Nothobranchius furzeri: one gene and its partners. The protein of the gene in region 3 interacts with the protein of the main gene of each other region in a pairwise test. Links are inferred from orthologs where the notes say so. Each region holds a gene or a part of one and is shown on either strand. Other genes may lie near its edges.

Region 1 (4,057 bases), on a different chromosome or scaffold from region 3:
TTACGTGTCATCAGTGTCTAGTGCAAATGTCCAGGATTATAATAACTTGTAAAATACTACTGATCACAGGATTATAACATCAAGTAATAACATTGTCATTTCACAGATTGATTGAACATTGGGCTCACATTATTATCGGTAATAAACAAAGTTGTTGATTATGTATTTACCAAAATAGTTCTTGTCTTCGTTGTAACAGAGGTGAAGCAGTTCAGATGAGCAGAGTAGATGAAAGACCTTGGCCACTATCTCATGTAGATTAGGCTGTCAGAGACTTTATGCCTCTGCTCGAGCAGACGCAGCAGATCATGACCTTTAGGTCAAAAACAGGACATTCATGATGCTACAGTATCCACTGCCTCAATGTCTGCTCCCTGGATGTTTACTGGTGAGTGAGGAGGAGTGGTTCGCTGGAAGTCAATCATTTCCTTTGTCTTCCTGGTGTTCAAGCGAAGATGGTTATGCTCACACCATTTATGTGTTGTGAAAAGTAAAATCAAATACAAAGATAGATTAGATCTTAAAAATGTACATATTCATGCATCAGAACTGCATATGCTAATTTTATTTGAGGGACTCTTAAATATCCACATAATGAAATATACTGTGAAAATGTTTCTTTTTTGCATTTTTATTTAGTGAAAACGACTAAATTTAAGGAAATAATTAATAAAAATTATTATAGTTATTAGTATTAGTTAAAAATATAATGTTTTTCCTGTGTAAACTGTTCTCTCACAAAGTTGTTTTTCATTACTTTGTTACTTTTAATAAACTGTGTTAAAAAAGACAGATTGAACGTACAAAGGAGTTTAGAATAAAGTTTGTTTTTGTTTGTTGTCACTTCACTCAATTACTTTTGATGCTTTAGACATTATTGAAAAAATACCAGAAATTGATCTTTTAAAGGGATAGTAGGCAGTTTTGGCTTGCCTTTATCGCCCCCTAGTGTCTGTTAGTGAAAGCAAAAGTGAATCTCCTCTTCTTGCTGTACGTTCGTCTTTTTAACACCTTAATCTAACTGCTAATTGTCTCCCCAGCCTTCATCAGGAGGGATTCATCACTGAATTAAACAAATCAGCTGTGTTCATGATCTAAACCATGCAGAAGACATGCTGGAAGCGGACTGCAGCGCCAGCACGTCAGCTCCACATCAGACTAAAGTGGGACTTAACAGGGAGCTGCTCAGATACTTTAAGATGGGTGATTCATTCATCTTCGTTGTAGTCATTTTGTTTTTCTCTACGTAAAACCTAATTTAGGGTTTTTCAAGAATATCACAGAAACAAGTCTGAAGACAAGGAAATTATGAGTACTTAAAGTTTTATTAGCAAAAATATTTCATTTCCAATAAACAAATATCATCATTTCACACATTAAAAAGTTGTTCATGATCTCAGCCAAACTTGTGTCTGCTGTCAGGATCAGACAGCAGCTGCCACTCAGCTAACAGGAAGAATGAGTTAATGAAGCGAGACGAAAACAGGTACCAGTCTACACACACACACTCACTCAGGAACAGCAGCAGTGTGTGATGGTGCCAGTGCATTCTGTTCTCTCCATACAGAACTGGCAGAAGCTCCTGGGAGGTGACCAACCCAAACATCACGTTTCATCACCATACCACTCCATCCATCCCTTCTTGCCCTTCAAACACTTTCAACCTTCTTTCTGATAACTTGCATCGCCATCGTTCTGTTAAACTTGCACTTTTCACAATAAAAGTGCACTAGTGCTAGCATCACATTCACAAGTGGATCAAACAAGCTAACATATTCTCTTCTTTTTCCGCCTCTATCTTTTCCGTTCAGCCTCTTTGGGCTTCCTGTGACATGGAGCGACCCAGAGCTCTGGGGGCTTTAGTGAACTCCATGAGGACCGGTTTGATGGGGGGGAGGTCTCTGGTGATCTCGTCCACACTCCTCTTGCTGGGGCAGACCCCATCTCGTGTGGGGAAGGGCTGCAGGTCGTGCTCTGTGTGCGGGGCACCACGTCCCAGCCTGACACCCAGCTCTGTTGGGGTAAAGATGGGCAGGGGGAGGGTGTGTCTCTTTGGCAGCAACTGGTGCTCCTTCATCCCTCTTTCCACAGTGCCCACCCTGAAGACACCAGAGGGGCAGGTCTGGATCAGAGAGCGGTACTGCCACTGCCGGGAGAGGGTCTCTCTACGGGAGTCGTCCTTCATGCTCATGGTTTGTCTGTGGGCATCAGACGACAGTTCAACTTAGAGACTTAATAACACTCCAAGGTTAAAACAAGAGGAATCTCAGTACAAACCACTGAGTAGATGGAGCATGTGGTGTCTCACCTGTCCTGAGGTTGAGTTTTCAGATCAACGCTGTGCCAGTCAGCACTGTAGCTCTCCCTCTTAGCCGTGTTTTCCTCCCGGATGCTGCAGGCCAGCTCTGCTCCCACCACCATGCCGTTACTCTTCTCCAGTATGCTGCAGAATGGCATGTTTTCTACTGTCTGGGGATCTTGGGTTCCTGAAAGCTGGTTCTCTCTCTGAGACGTCTAGACTCTCTCTTCAGAGTGTTTGAGTGGCACAGCGATCTGTCCACAGCTTTTATAGACGCCCCGTGACTATTTCTGATTCACGTTGTCATTCTGCTTCCAGTGTGTACTGACATCTGACACCGACTACTCCGCGGTTCATTCCCGGACAGCTGGAATCCAAACTGAGGATGAGTTGAAGGGTGGTTGGCCAGAAAATCCCCCTGGCTTCTGAAAGCACTCAGCCCACTTCAGCGGCGGTCGCAGAGGGGACAGAACAATCGGCGCTATGAATAGAGGTATGATAAACTTGTATGTTCAGCTGTGAAACGGGACAGCAGCCGCTTTATAAGGACATTTCAGATGATATAATCATCATTTTTTATCGTTAAAAAACAACCGGGCCTCATGACAACACCAGCCCCTCCGCTGGACGTCTTTCAAAGCTCCAAAGCGTGTGATTCATTACCTCAGTGACAGAGCACCACTCAAGCTGTTAGCAACTTGGGTTACTGACCGAAACACACACACACACACACACACACACACACACACACACACACACACACACACACACACACACACACACACACACACACACACACACACACACACACACACACACACACACACAGACACACTCACCTCTGCCAGTTATGTGTTGGTGTTATGTTACTACCAGTCCCTGTCTCTGACTCATTCACCCACATGGGGCACTGAAATCATCATCACAACACAGATATCACTTATCACACACACAGCATAATAATAAGGCATCTAAACGACCAGTTAGGCAGGAACACCAATCATCTAGACTTCTTACAAACCTCACGCTTTCTTTCCTCTCATTGTGGGACTTATTCTCATCTCTTTTTATCATCTTTCCATGTCTTTACCATTCGAGATGGCGGTTTAGTGTTATTTTCGTGCCAAGTGCAAAAACGTTTTCACCTGTTTCTTAGCAACTTATCAGCTAGTTGACACAACATGACAGGAATGCTGCCACGGTGAGAAAAAAGGTGTAAAGCAGCCGCTGGCATCCCAAAGGTCATCTGTTTAGGTCAGAAAATCAGCGTGACATGTTTTTGTCATTTAAAGAGACTTCCTGTTTACGTCCTGCTCACTGTCAAAAGGAGGAACGCGGATAATGATGTTTTTGCTTGTGCGTTTTTAGCTAAATATCTTATAAATCATTTAACATGTTTTGATAAAATAAAATATTAAATAAACGGCTGCAGTGGCGCAGTGGTTGGCACTGTTGCCTAGCAGCAAGAAGGTCATGCAGAAGGACCCCTGGCCTGGGGTCCTTCTGCATGGAGTTTGCATGTTCTCCCCGTGGGTTCTCTCCAGGTTCTCCGACTTCCTCCCACAGTCCAAAAGCATGAATGTCAAGTTGATTGGTTTCTCCAAAATTTCCTTAGGTGTGAGTGTGTGTGTGTGTATGGTTGTTTGTCCTGTGTGTCCCTGTGTGGCCCTTCGATGAACTGGCAACCTGTAAGGTGCACCCCACCCGTTTGCCTGGAGACTGCTGGCACCAGCCCCCCGAAACCCTGCGTGGATAAGC
Region 2 (3,701 bases), on a different chromosome or scaffold from region 3:
GATTGAGATGTTCCTTCAAATTCCATCTGGTTTCTTCATTCAACTCTTGTGAAATGCATATTTATTCTGTGCAAGCTGGTTTCTGCTTGATCCAGCTCTAGACAGACATGTTGAGCAGGACTCAGCTTCAGCAGAACAACACCAAGTCCATTCTTCAGCAGAAATCCACTAAAATAATCGTTTTCTGCACTTTGTATTATTGCACTGCTGTAGTTGAGATGCAACAAATAAAAGCAGTCTAAAACCATGTGGTGGGGGGGTTAATAAAATGATCTGAACCCCACTTTGAGCTGTGGAGGACACAGGCTAAAGCTGCAGAGGAGGTTCGGTTTGCAGCGAGCACCAAGTTTTACATTCAGCTGTAGAGGCGGCGGTGGCTGTGCAGCTTTCATTGGACGGATCTGGTTGTAGAGCATATTGCTCCAGATGTGGAAACCGTGAATAAGTGAATAAATAAACCAGCTGTCCTGACAAATGGCAACAAGTCAAGGGAAACATTTATCTCACCTTTTCGGGGTCAGTCTGAATCTGTCAAAGTGATAAAAGGAACCAAACCGCAGCAGGTGCAGCCGAGTTAACGTATATCCAAAAAGTGCTTTGGGGAAAAAAATAATAGCTCTACCTCGGTAACTAAGCCTATGCATAGATGAAAGTGACAAACACACATTATTTATAATTGTAAAACTGGGGCAGTTCTGAGCCAAAATACTGTGTATTTACAGTTGAATTTTTTGGAACAATCCGTCGGTTTTGCTACATTCTGACACAATGTGTTGGTGATTTTTCTAAGCACTAAATATCTCTTCACGATGAAAAACTTTCACCATAATTCAAAGTAAAGTGTAAAACCACTGGCATCAGACTGAATTCCTGGTCTGTTGTTGCAGTTTCTTGGGTATTTTGGGCTGGCAGTGATGCACTGCTGTCTCACTATAAATGTAACACTTTGAAAGTACGGCACAGCAGCTGAAGGCGGAGAGGAGGAACGTCCGGATGTGATATGTCATTTTTTTAGAGAGCATTCTAGAAGTGGAGATTGCACACATCCCTCTTTACCAACATCAGCGTATTTTTTCTTTTCCATAAATAAACACTGAAATATACATTTAAAGCATAACGACACAAACTAATGCACAAAAAAGTACATTGCTTTCCCTTTCTGGCCAAAGCTCCTGGTTGCTCCTGTTGGCGATCTGGATAAGGCAAGCAGCTGGTCTGTGAGGTTTCTTCCATCATTCCCACTGTTGGGAAAGTTGTCAGTCAGTCTTAAGGGTCAAAGACTGGAGGGTGGTTTAAAAGCTGGTGGTGACTTTAACTGCTTGAAAGTCGACGGTAAAAGTAGATGTAGCCCAAATCCTTTGGAGGCCTTTCTGACAAACAGACTTTGTGGTCATTATAGATCACCCACCTGCACAGAGATGAGCATTTAAGAGTTTTGTTGTCTCTTGACCTTACAGAGTCTAGATACTTTCAAAATAAAATAATAACAATTTCAGGAAAAGATTGGCAGAAAAGAAACACGATCATTAACATGCATGTTTCGTAAGGAATAATGAGTGTTGTCAACTTTATTCTACAAGTAAAACCAGAAGAGATGTTATTTAAGGATGCGGGCTGCAGCTCACCTTCCCTCCTTTTTGATGTGACAAACATAATGTCCGGACATCGTGGAGGCTCCCATGTGGCTGATGAAGGCAAACAGTTCGTATCCTAAAACAGGAAGAAGACCAAAACCAGAATAAACAGATCACCGTCACACATCTGAAATCGACAGATGGTAATTGTCAGAATTAGATTCTGAATGATGGGAAAAACAATCAAAACAGTAAATCTACTTAAAGTTCTTTTCATTATATACTCATCTATTTTCACTTACATGATTGTTTGAGTCTACATTTTTTATAAAAGTTTTAATTAAAATGATGACGTACATTTATTTTCAAAAAGCTAACACAAAGGTTTTTCTAGTTCATGAGTTTATTTATAAACTAATTTTTTTTTTACGTTGCATGATGTATAAATGAAGTGAGAATGACATCTTGTGGTCAAATTTGGGTACTGCAGTCTATTTCAAAGCAAAAGAGTGAAGCCTAGTTTCTGCTTCTGCGTCAGTACGAAGACACGAAATGTTATCCATCCATGTGAGGGCTCTCCAGCAGGCTCACAAGGATGAATGGAGTCAAGCCCATTTTTCTAAACGAGACGCAGAACGCAAGCTTGTGACTGGTCAGGCCGCCGCTTTTCGTCAACAGCACCACTATTCCCCCCTCAAAAACATAAAGAGAGCTGAAGATATCTAGCAGCAGACACAGAGTAGCTTGAAGAACACCTCGCGAAAAACCTAAAAATATGAATGTTTTTTTCATCCGTGACTGGATGAGAAAAAAGATACACAGACAGCGTTATATTTGTAGATGGAAATGATTAGGCTCAACTCCTGGCCTGAAGTTCTGTGAGTTTCACGGCTGTTGCCAGCTGTGACTCAACACCAGAAGATTCTAGATGACGAGCGAAGAGTCATACACAGTAAATTGATCAGTGGATAAATACAATTCACTTTAATTTTCAGATGTTAAAAGTTGAAAAAGTTGCTCGAGATATCTTTGGAATTTCTAATTCGCCGTTGGCATTGTTAGCTCAACATTAGCCTCTAGTCTGCTTAACCCGATATTAGAGTAAAATGATGCTGTGGCTTCTTAGGAGTACAAGAAATAACTTATGTGTCACTTCCGTTACTGGCTTAGGATCTTTGCATAACACTTATGGGGTGGTGTCAAATTCCAAATGCCACGACTGGAGCATTAAGCCTAATTTATACTTCTCAGTTTGCGCGGCGCAGAGATACGCAACGTTATTATGCATCAGTGCAAGGGCTCTCCAACAGGCTCGCAGAGGGTGACAGAGACATGCCCAAATTTTTACATATCCATCAAAAGTGACGGAGACCGCAAGCTTGTGATTGGCCAGGACGCCACTTCCTGTAAATTTGTTAACAGCACCACCATTGCCCCCTTAAAAAGTAAAAAGATATTTAACGGCAGACTCTGAACAGATTGAAGAACGCATCGCAGAAAAAGTCCAAAAATAGGAACGTTTATTCACCAGTGATGGAAGGAGTACAAAGATATGGTGCAAGCATTTTGTTCGTGGACGGAACTGACAGGAAACATGGGTTTAGAGCATGGGTTAGCGATGGCAGCCACATGAGAGGTGGAGGATGAAGGACAAATTCATCCGTGTTATGTCTGAAATATATAAACACATTAGTAAATACACTATCATGGACCGGATACAGGAGTGTAATGGTGGCGTGATACCACAGAAAAGTGTTATGCCCTCTGTGGTCCTGGTGGGGAATTGCTTTGTAACACTCCCCAGGTGCCGGAGAAGTCAGAGAAGAAAACGTCTCTGTAAATGCGTACTTGTCTCTCCCTTGTGGAGATGACAGAGAAACATAAATCAGGCATTGGCTGGTGCAGGCTCTGTAAACCCACAGGCTTGTAGATCTGATTCTGATCTGATTCTGATTGTAAACAAAGACTGACTGCCCTTAGGCCAGCTGAGAAGGAAATTCAACATGAGACATTAGACTGTTTTTGTGATTATTTCACTGTAAAATTCTTAATGTACCTAATAAAACTTCCTGCAAAGTTGAAACAAGTTCAATTATAAGTAAGTAAGTCGACTCACGTCCAGGTCCG
Region 3 (5,244 bases):
CCATTGTTGGTTCTTTTTTAAAACACAGAAAAGGTTTCTTTTTACCTTGCTGACAGTTTAGTTTGTGGCTGCAAACTTCCTCAGCTGATGGTGGCGTCACTTCCTACTCCGTTTATTCGCGGCCAGAGATGATGGAGTTTACACATTGGATCGTGCATGGGGCTGCATCATCGGTGAGGGGAGAGCGGGCAGCAGAGGATGACAACATCCTCTGCTGCCCGCGGATAAATGGAGTAGGAAGTGATGCCACCATCAGCATCAGCTCTGAGGAAGTTTGCAGCCACCAACGAAACTGTCAGCAAGGTAAAAAGAAACCTTTTCTGTGTTTTAAAAAGGAACCAACAATGGAATTAGTTAATTGATTTGTTTGAGCAACTCTCGTTGATTGTTTGATCTTGCACAAAATCAAGATTCAGACGTCGGTTAAAATCAGTATTCAAAAACTGATTCGATTCAGAGATGTTGTGCATGAATGGTCGTTATTTTGTCATTAGTGACATTTTAGCATGCAGATAAGGTGGAAAATTACAAGATATTGACTGTGAAATTTGGCGGGCCATAGCTTGTAGATATCTGCATCAGAAAAACCCATATCGGTTGATCTCTACATCTAATGATAGATCTCAAAATTCATCCTCATGAGATATTTTGCAAATGAACCAATGCACTCAGACAAAAACATAACCTGCTATGTACCATTCATCTGCAGAAATTAGTTTTCAAAATAATCTATTTGATGTTCTAAATTAAATGAAACTCTATGACGACATGGGAAGTTTCAGTTCTGTGGATTTTATGTCAGATTAGCCTTTCGGCTATCCAGTCAGCCACTGGAGAAGTCATCCGTGCACATGATGCTACTAGAAACGACCAAACCTACACCAGCAGAATGACTCAGAAGCCTCAACAGTAACTGATGCACCTTCTGCATCACGCTGCTCTCCCTCCTCTCACATTTACTATCCCTGCTTATTGCCCTCAGGGATGTCTTTGACTCACGTACCAAGCCCTCTTGCTGGATATTGGAAGTGTTAGGTGTACTTTACGCCTGATCTGTCTCACCTGCTGGATCCCTGTTTAAACATATCAATGATATTCTCAACCAGCAGGTTCCTCTGCAGGCCGTAGACACCGTGTCGGTCCAGGACCACCTCATGCCTGCAGGATGGGCATCGGAAACGGCCACCAGACGTCAACGAGCTACTTCTGGTTGGAAAGTACGGGTTTGAAGCCTGCAAAGCAATAATTCACACTCTAATTCTGGAGTGTTGATGCTGGTCAAACACATCTCTGTTGCGCAAGTTAATGAAATGGTTTCACTCAGCCGTTATGCAATGTGCATAGAGGAAGTACAGACAAAACAAGTTTGCATAAATGAGTGTGTAAATCAAAAAGCTTACCAACAGCCAGATTTAAATAATTTATGAAATAATTGTGTTTTTACTTGTGACTTATTACATCAATAATATTTCAACAAAGCCTATACATATTTGGCTCATCATTGGTTGTGACACAAAGTGTTAATTTTCTCACTAAAGCACAAACCGTGATTATTGTGGCTGTGAAGATATTAAAATGTGAGCCAGGCAGCGCATTTGTATGCATAAGATGCTTATAAATCAACATTTTTCTTAAACTCCTAAATTCTGTTGTTACAGAAAAAACTGAGGGGATTCATTAAATTGGCTTACCTGAAAAACATCATTGGCACATTTCCTACAGAGGTTGTGCTGGCAAGGTAAAATGACAACAGGCTTTGTAAACATTTCCAGGCATATGGGACAAGTCAGCTGCTTCTCCAGGTTCTCCATGGTGCCAGCTTAGGACAAACAAAGTCATACAAAACTTAAATTTGCGAAAGTTTATCAAAAGCTAGTAATCCACGGCAGATTCAGTCACGAGGGTGCTGAATAGGATAAGTGGGAGTACCCAGTTGGTGTCAGTGCTTTATTTTAGCAGCAGCTACTGCTGTCACGTCAAATGTTGCCATTTATACCCTGCCCATATTTGAAACTGAACTAGTCAGTACTGAACAGCTGCTTATCTCTCTCTAAACTACCATCTGCGTCCTATAGGGGGGGACAAAAAGCAGGAAAAATCAGTGAAATTATATGAGGTAACTTTCAATTTTGTCCAGTATGCTGATGTTTTATGTGTATTTATATATTGGTTAATTAATTTATAATATATGTTGATGACGTGAAAGTCAAAATGTAAAAAATGCTAAACTGAAAGACCTATGTCCCCTAATGCTAACATTTCAATAATATTTGATTAGCAAAAAATCCTAAAAACTGCCTACATTTCTAAGCAACACCAGATGAAGGAGGACCCCGCCTGAATACAAAAAGGTTTGCTACCGCAGAAACATATTTTTTTTTTTTGTCATGCTCAGAATTCAACTGTAAATGTTGATTCTTATGTAAGCCTGTAAGCTTCATTGGTTAAATAAAACTTGTTAAAAAACACAGAAAATATTTTAAGGGAATTATTATTGTTATTAGTGTTAATTTCGTAGCTACGTTGGATATTACTATTTGAGCAAAAACAATATCTTCTAAGGGACATTAAATTATTTTTCTATTCGATTCTTATTTTATTTATCTTGAATTACTCGCTGAATTGAAAAAATCGCAGTAACTTGATTAAAAGTCCGTCTTTTAGAATGTATTAATGGAGTTGCAGCTCTATAGAAGTAGTGCATATTTTAAAAAAGTTCATTAGAAGTAATTAAGTCAGAAAATTAACCAGTCAACAATCAAAAGATAATTTAAGTGACGCCGGTATCGACCCAACGCTTTAATGTAAGCGCTCTATCTTCTCGTAACAACACAACTTCCGGCAACATATTATGTTGAGTTTCGTAACATACCTGTGGAGCCGAATCGCTGTCTGGTGCCACACAAACTTGATAATACAGAAGTCATTATACAGTTATAGGATACCATTTACCGACACCGGTTTACTTTAGGTAATGTTACTTAGCTAAGCTAAGTTAGCTTAGCTGAGAAGCTATAGCCTCGTTAGCAGCACAAGCATAGACGTGAATACGTATATGTCTGTGGACCTAAATCTATGCATTAAATGGTGTGAAAATCCATCATAACTAGCGAAGTATTTAATACTTGCAGTCGAAATTGTTATAGAATAACACACTAAAAATAAAAACACGTGACTGTACACCCTTAAAACCAGTAGATCTGGCTGGAGTGAACGTCTCCCTTCGATAGCTCAGTTGGTAGAGCGGAGGACTGTAGTGGGTATGCGCTGAAATCCTTAGGTCGCTGGTTCGAATCCGGCTCGAAGGAGAGGGTTACTTTTGAGTTTTTAAAAAAACAATCCTTAAAACTATCCTTGAACATTTGATTTGTTAATTTCATGAAACGGGTTAAAATTCTTACATTTATAATCATATTTTCTGTGGTAACAATGTTGACAAAATATGCTTCTCTTAAATAAAATGTTTAAGTAAAATAAAAATTATTGGTGAGACACAATCCTTTATCTTGTCACATTACAGTTAGGTGAAGATTTTTGATCTCAAACAATAATCTTTACATTAATAACTTTTCAATTCAAGGCCTTAATGTTTGCACATAGTTAAACGACTAATTGTCCTATACTTGCAAACACTCCAAAAAAATTTCATTTTAATTTTTTACTGATATGTCTCTCATTTGCTCTATATTTGTGATAAAACATAATTTACTCTAGATTGAAGCGGCAGAAACAGTACTGCAGATGCATACTGATGGATGACTCACTGAAGATAATTAGCACTTGTGTGATGGATTATGGCAAGCATCATGCATTTATTAAGTATTTTGTGTTTTATGCTTCATATTTTATATTCTGACACTTGTTCAGAAAACATTAGTTTTTACCCTTTCAACAAGGGTCTTAAGTTCATGCCTTTACACTTGAATTTAATTAGAAGCATGTATGTTTGATTTCCATCATGCAGATATTTTTCTAAATGTAATTAGTGGAATAAATTTGATCATTTAGGACAGGTTTACCTTACAGATTGAGTCAGTGGTTACCGCTGTGGTAAAATGTTGTATAAATACCTTTTGAAAGTACTTTATACCTAATTTGTCGTTTTCCTCTGACTAATACAACATGACATCTGCATCTTGCACCTCTGTTCCTTTTATAGTGAGGCCACATGGAAATGCATGCAGCGCGTTTCGCACAGGCACATCAGAGTCAGTGAGTCATGTTTAAACATTTTAGGCAGATGTTGTTTCTGAAAATAATGAATGTCTCTCTCGATCGCTCTATTTTTGTGTGCCTTTGTTTTCATTCATCTGTTGGACACCAGCAAAGCAGGTGTGGAACCACGGCTTCCAGCAAAATGTTAATGCCTTTAAGGTGAGAGGAAAATAAAAATCAGCCACTTCTGTATCTAGCTGCTGCCTCATATGAGAATGTTAAAGAGCACATTAATATTTGTTATTAAAGATAAGCTTGTGTGTTTCACCCAGATCCTCTCTTTTGTTCAAGTGCTTCTTCTATGAATATTTTTTCCTGTGATTTCATTTGGGAACGCCACTTTATTCAGTTTTAACCATTAATCTTTAAAAGGCTAGTGTGATAAACATTCATTAATGAGCGAGGACCGCGCCGATCCCCACCATTTAGCTGACGCCTAAAAGTGAATTCAGATGAGATCAATTAGGGAGATGTTCCGAGTTGTGTTTTTGTCACTAAAGTGAATTCATAATTTTGCAGCCATTAACCGTCTGACTCATAATATGGCAGAGCCTGTTGGCAGAAATCTCATAAAAATTGACAAATTAAGAGCGGTGTGGGAGACTTTTTAAAAGATGAAAGGCCAACGTGAATGCCAGACAGTGCTGCCTTTGGAGCAAAAAGAAGATGCCAGTTTAAAGAGCGCAGTGTGAAACTTCTTGCTCAGCTGTAATTTCAGTACGTATAGTAAAAAGGGTCTGCAGGCACTTCCAAAGATACTCAAGATACACACGTAACACTCAAACAACTCTACAAGCGCACTAACAACATATACAGGAAGCAGAGCAAAGGGTGCCATCTGTTCGCTTGTATGAATATTTTAGATGGGGTGGAAGTCAGATGGAAAGCAATCAGTGCCTGTGATTTAAAAAGTCTGTAAGAGAGAGGATCATTCATTCTGTGAGTTTTATTGATGTGAAATATAAATGTAAAAATAAATGTAAATACAGGAGGAAATTGCCGCGGTGATGGTGAACGTGCCTCTACGGT

What was found.
Region 1: the proteins of trim55b (region 3) and tcap interact in a two-hybrid assay, tested with the Homo sapiens proteins (2 studies listed by BioGRID and IntAct). The link is inferred for Nothobranchius furzeri from reciprocal best matches to the Homo sapiens genes TRIM55 and TCAP.
Region 2: the proteins of trim55b (region 3) and usp13 interact in a two-hybrid assay, tested with the Homo sapiens proteins (2 studies listed by BioGRID and IntAct). The link is inferred for Nothobranchius furzeri from reciprocal best matches to the Homo sapiens genes TRIM55 and USP13.

What each region holds. Positions count from the first base shown.
Region 1 is NC_091745.1:14,198,017-14,202,073, forward strand, and holds tcap (telethonin), read right to left. Parts: upstream 2,681-4,057; 5' UTR 2,458-2,680; coding exon 2,309-2,457; intron 2,199-2,308; coding exon 1,808-2,198; 3' UTR 1,307-1,807; downstream 1-1,306. UniProt on the Homo sapiens protein: Muscle assembly regulating factor. Mediates the antiparallel assembly of titin (TTN) molecules at the sarcomeric Z-disk.
Region 2 is NC_091748.1:59,206,972-59,210,672, forward strand, and holds the end of usp13 (ubiquitin carboxyl-terminal hydrolase 13), read right to left. Parts: coding exon 3,691-3,701; intron 1,711-3,690; coding exon 1,626-1,710; intron 1,409-1,625; coding exon 1,312-1,408; 3' UTR 1,039-1,311; downstream 1-1,038. UniProt on the Homo sapiens protein: Deubiquitinase that mediates deubiquitination of target proteins such as BECN1, MITF, SKP2 and USP10 and is involved in various processes such as autophagy, endoplasmic reticulum-associated degradation (ERAD), cell cycle progression or DNA damage response.
Region 3 is NC_091747.1:51,573,700-51,578,943, reverse strand, and holds the start of trim55b (tripartite motif-containing protein 55), read right to left. Parts: upstream 3,168-5,244; 5' UTR 2,949-3,167; coding exon 2,873-2,948; intron 1,820-2,872; coding exon 1,692-1,819; intron 1,233-1,691; coding exon 1,063-1,232; intron 1-1,062. UniProt on the Homo sapiens protein: E3 ubiquitin ligase that plays an important role in regulating cardiac development and contractility, muscle growth, metabolism, and fiber-type differentiation.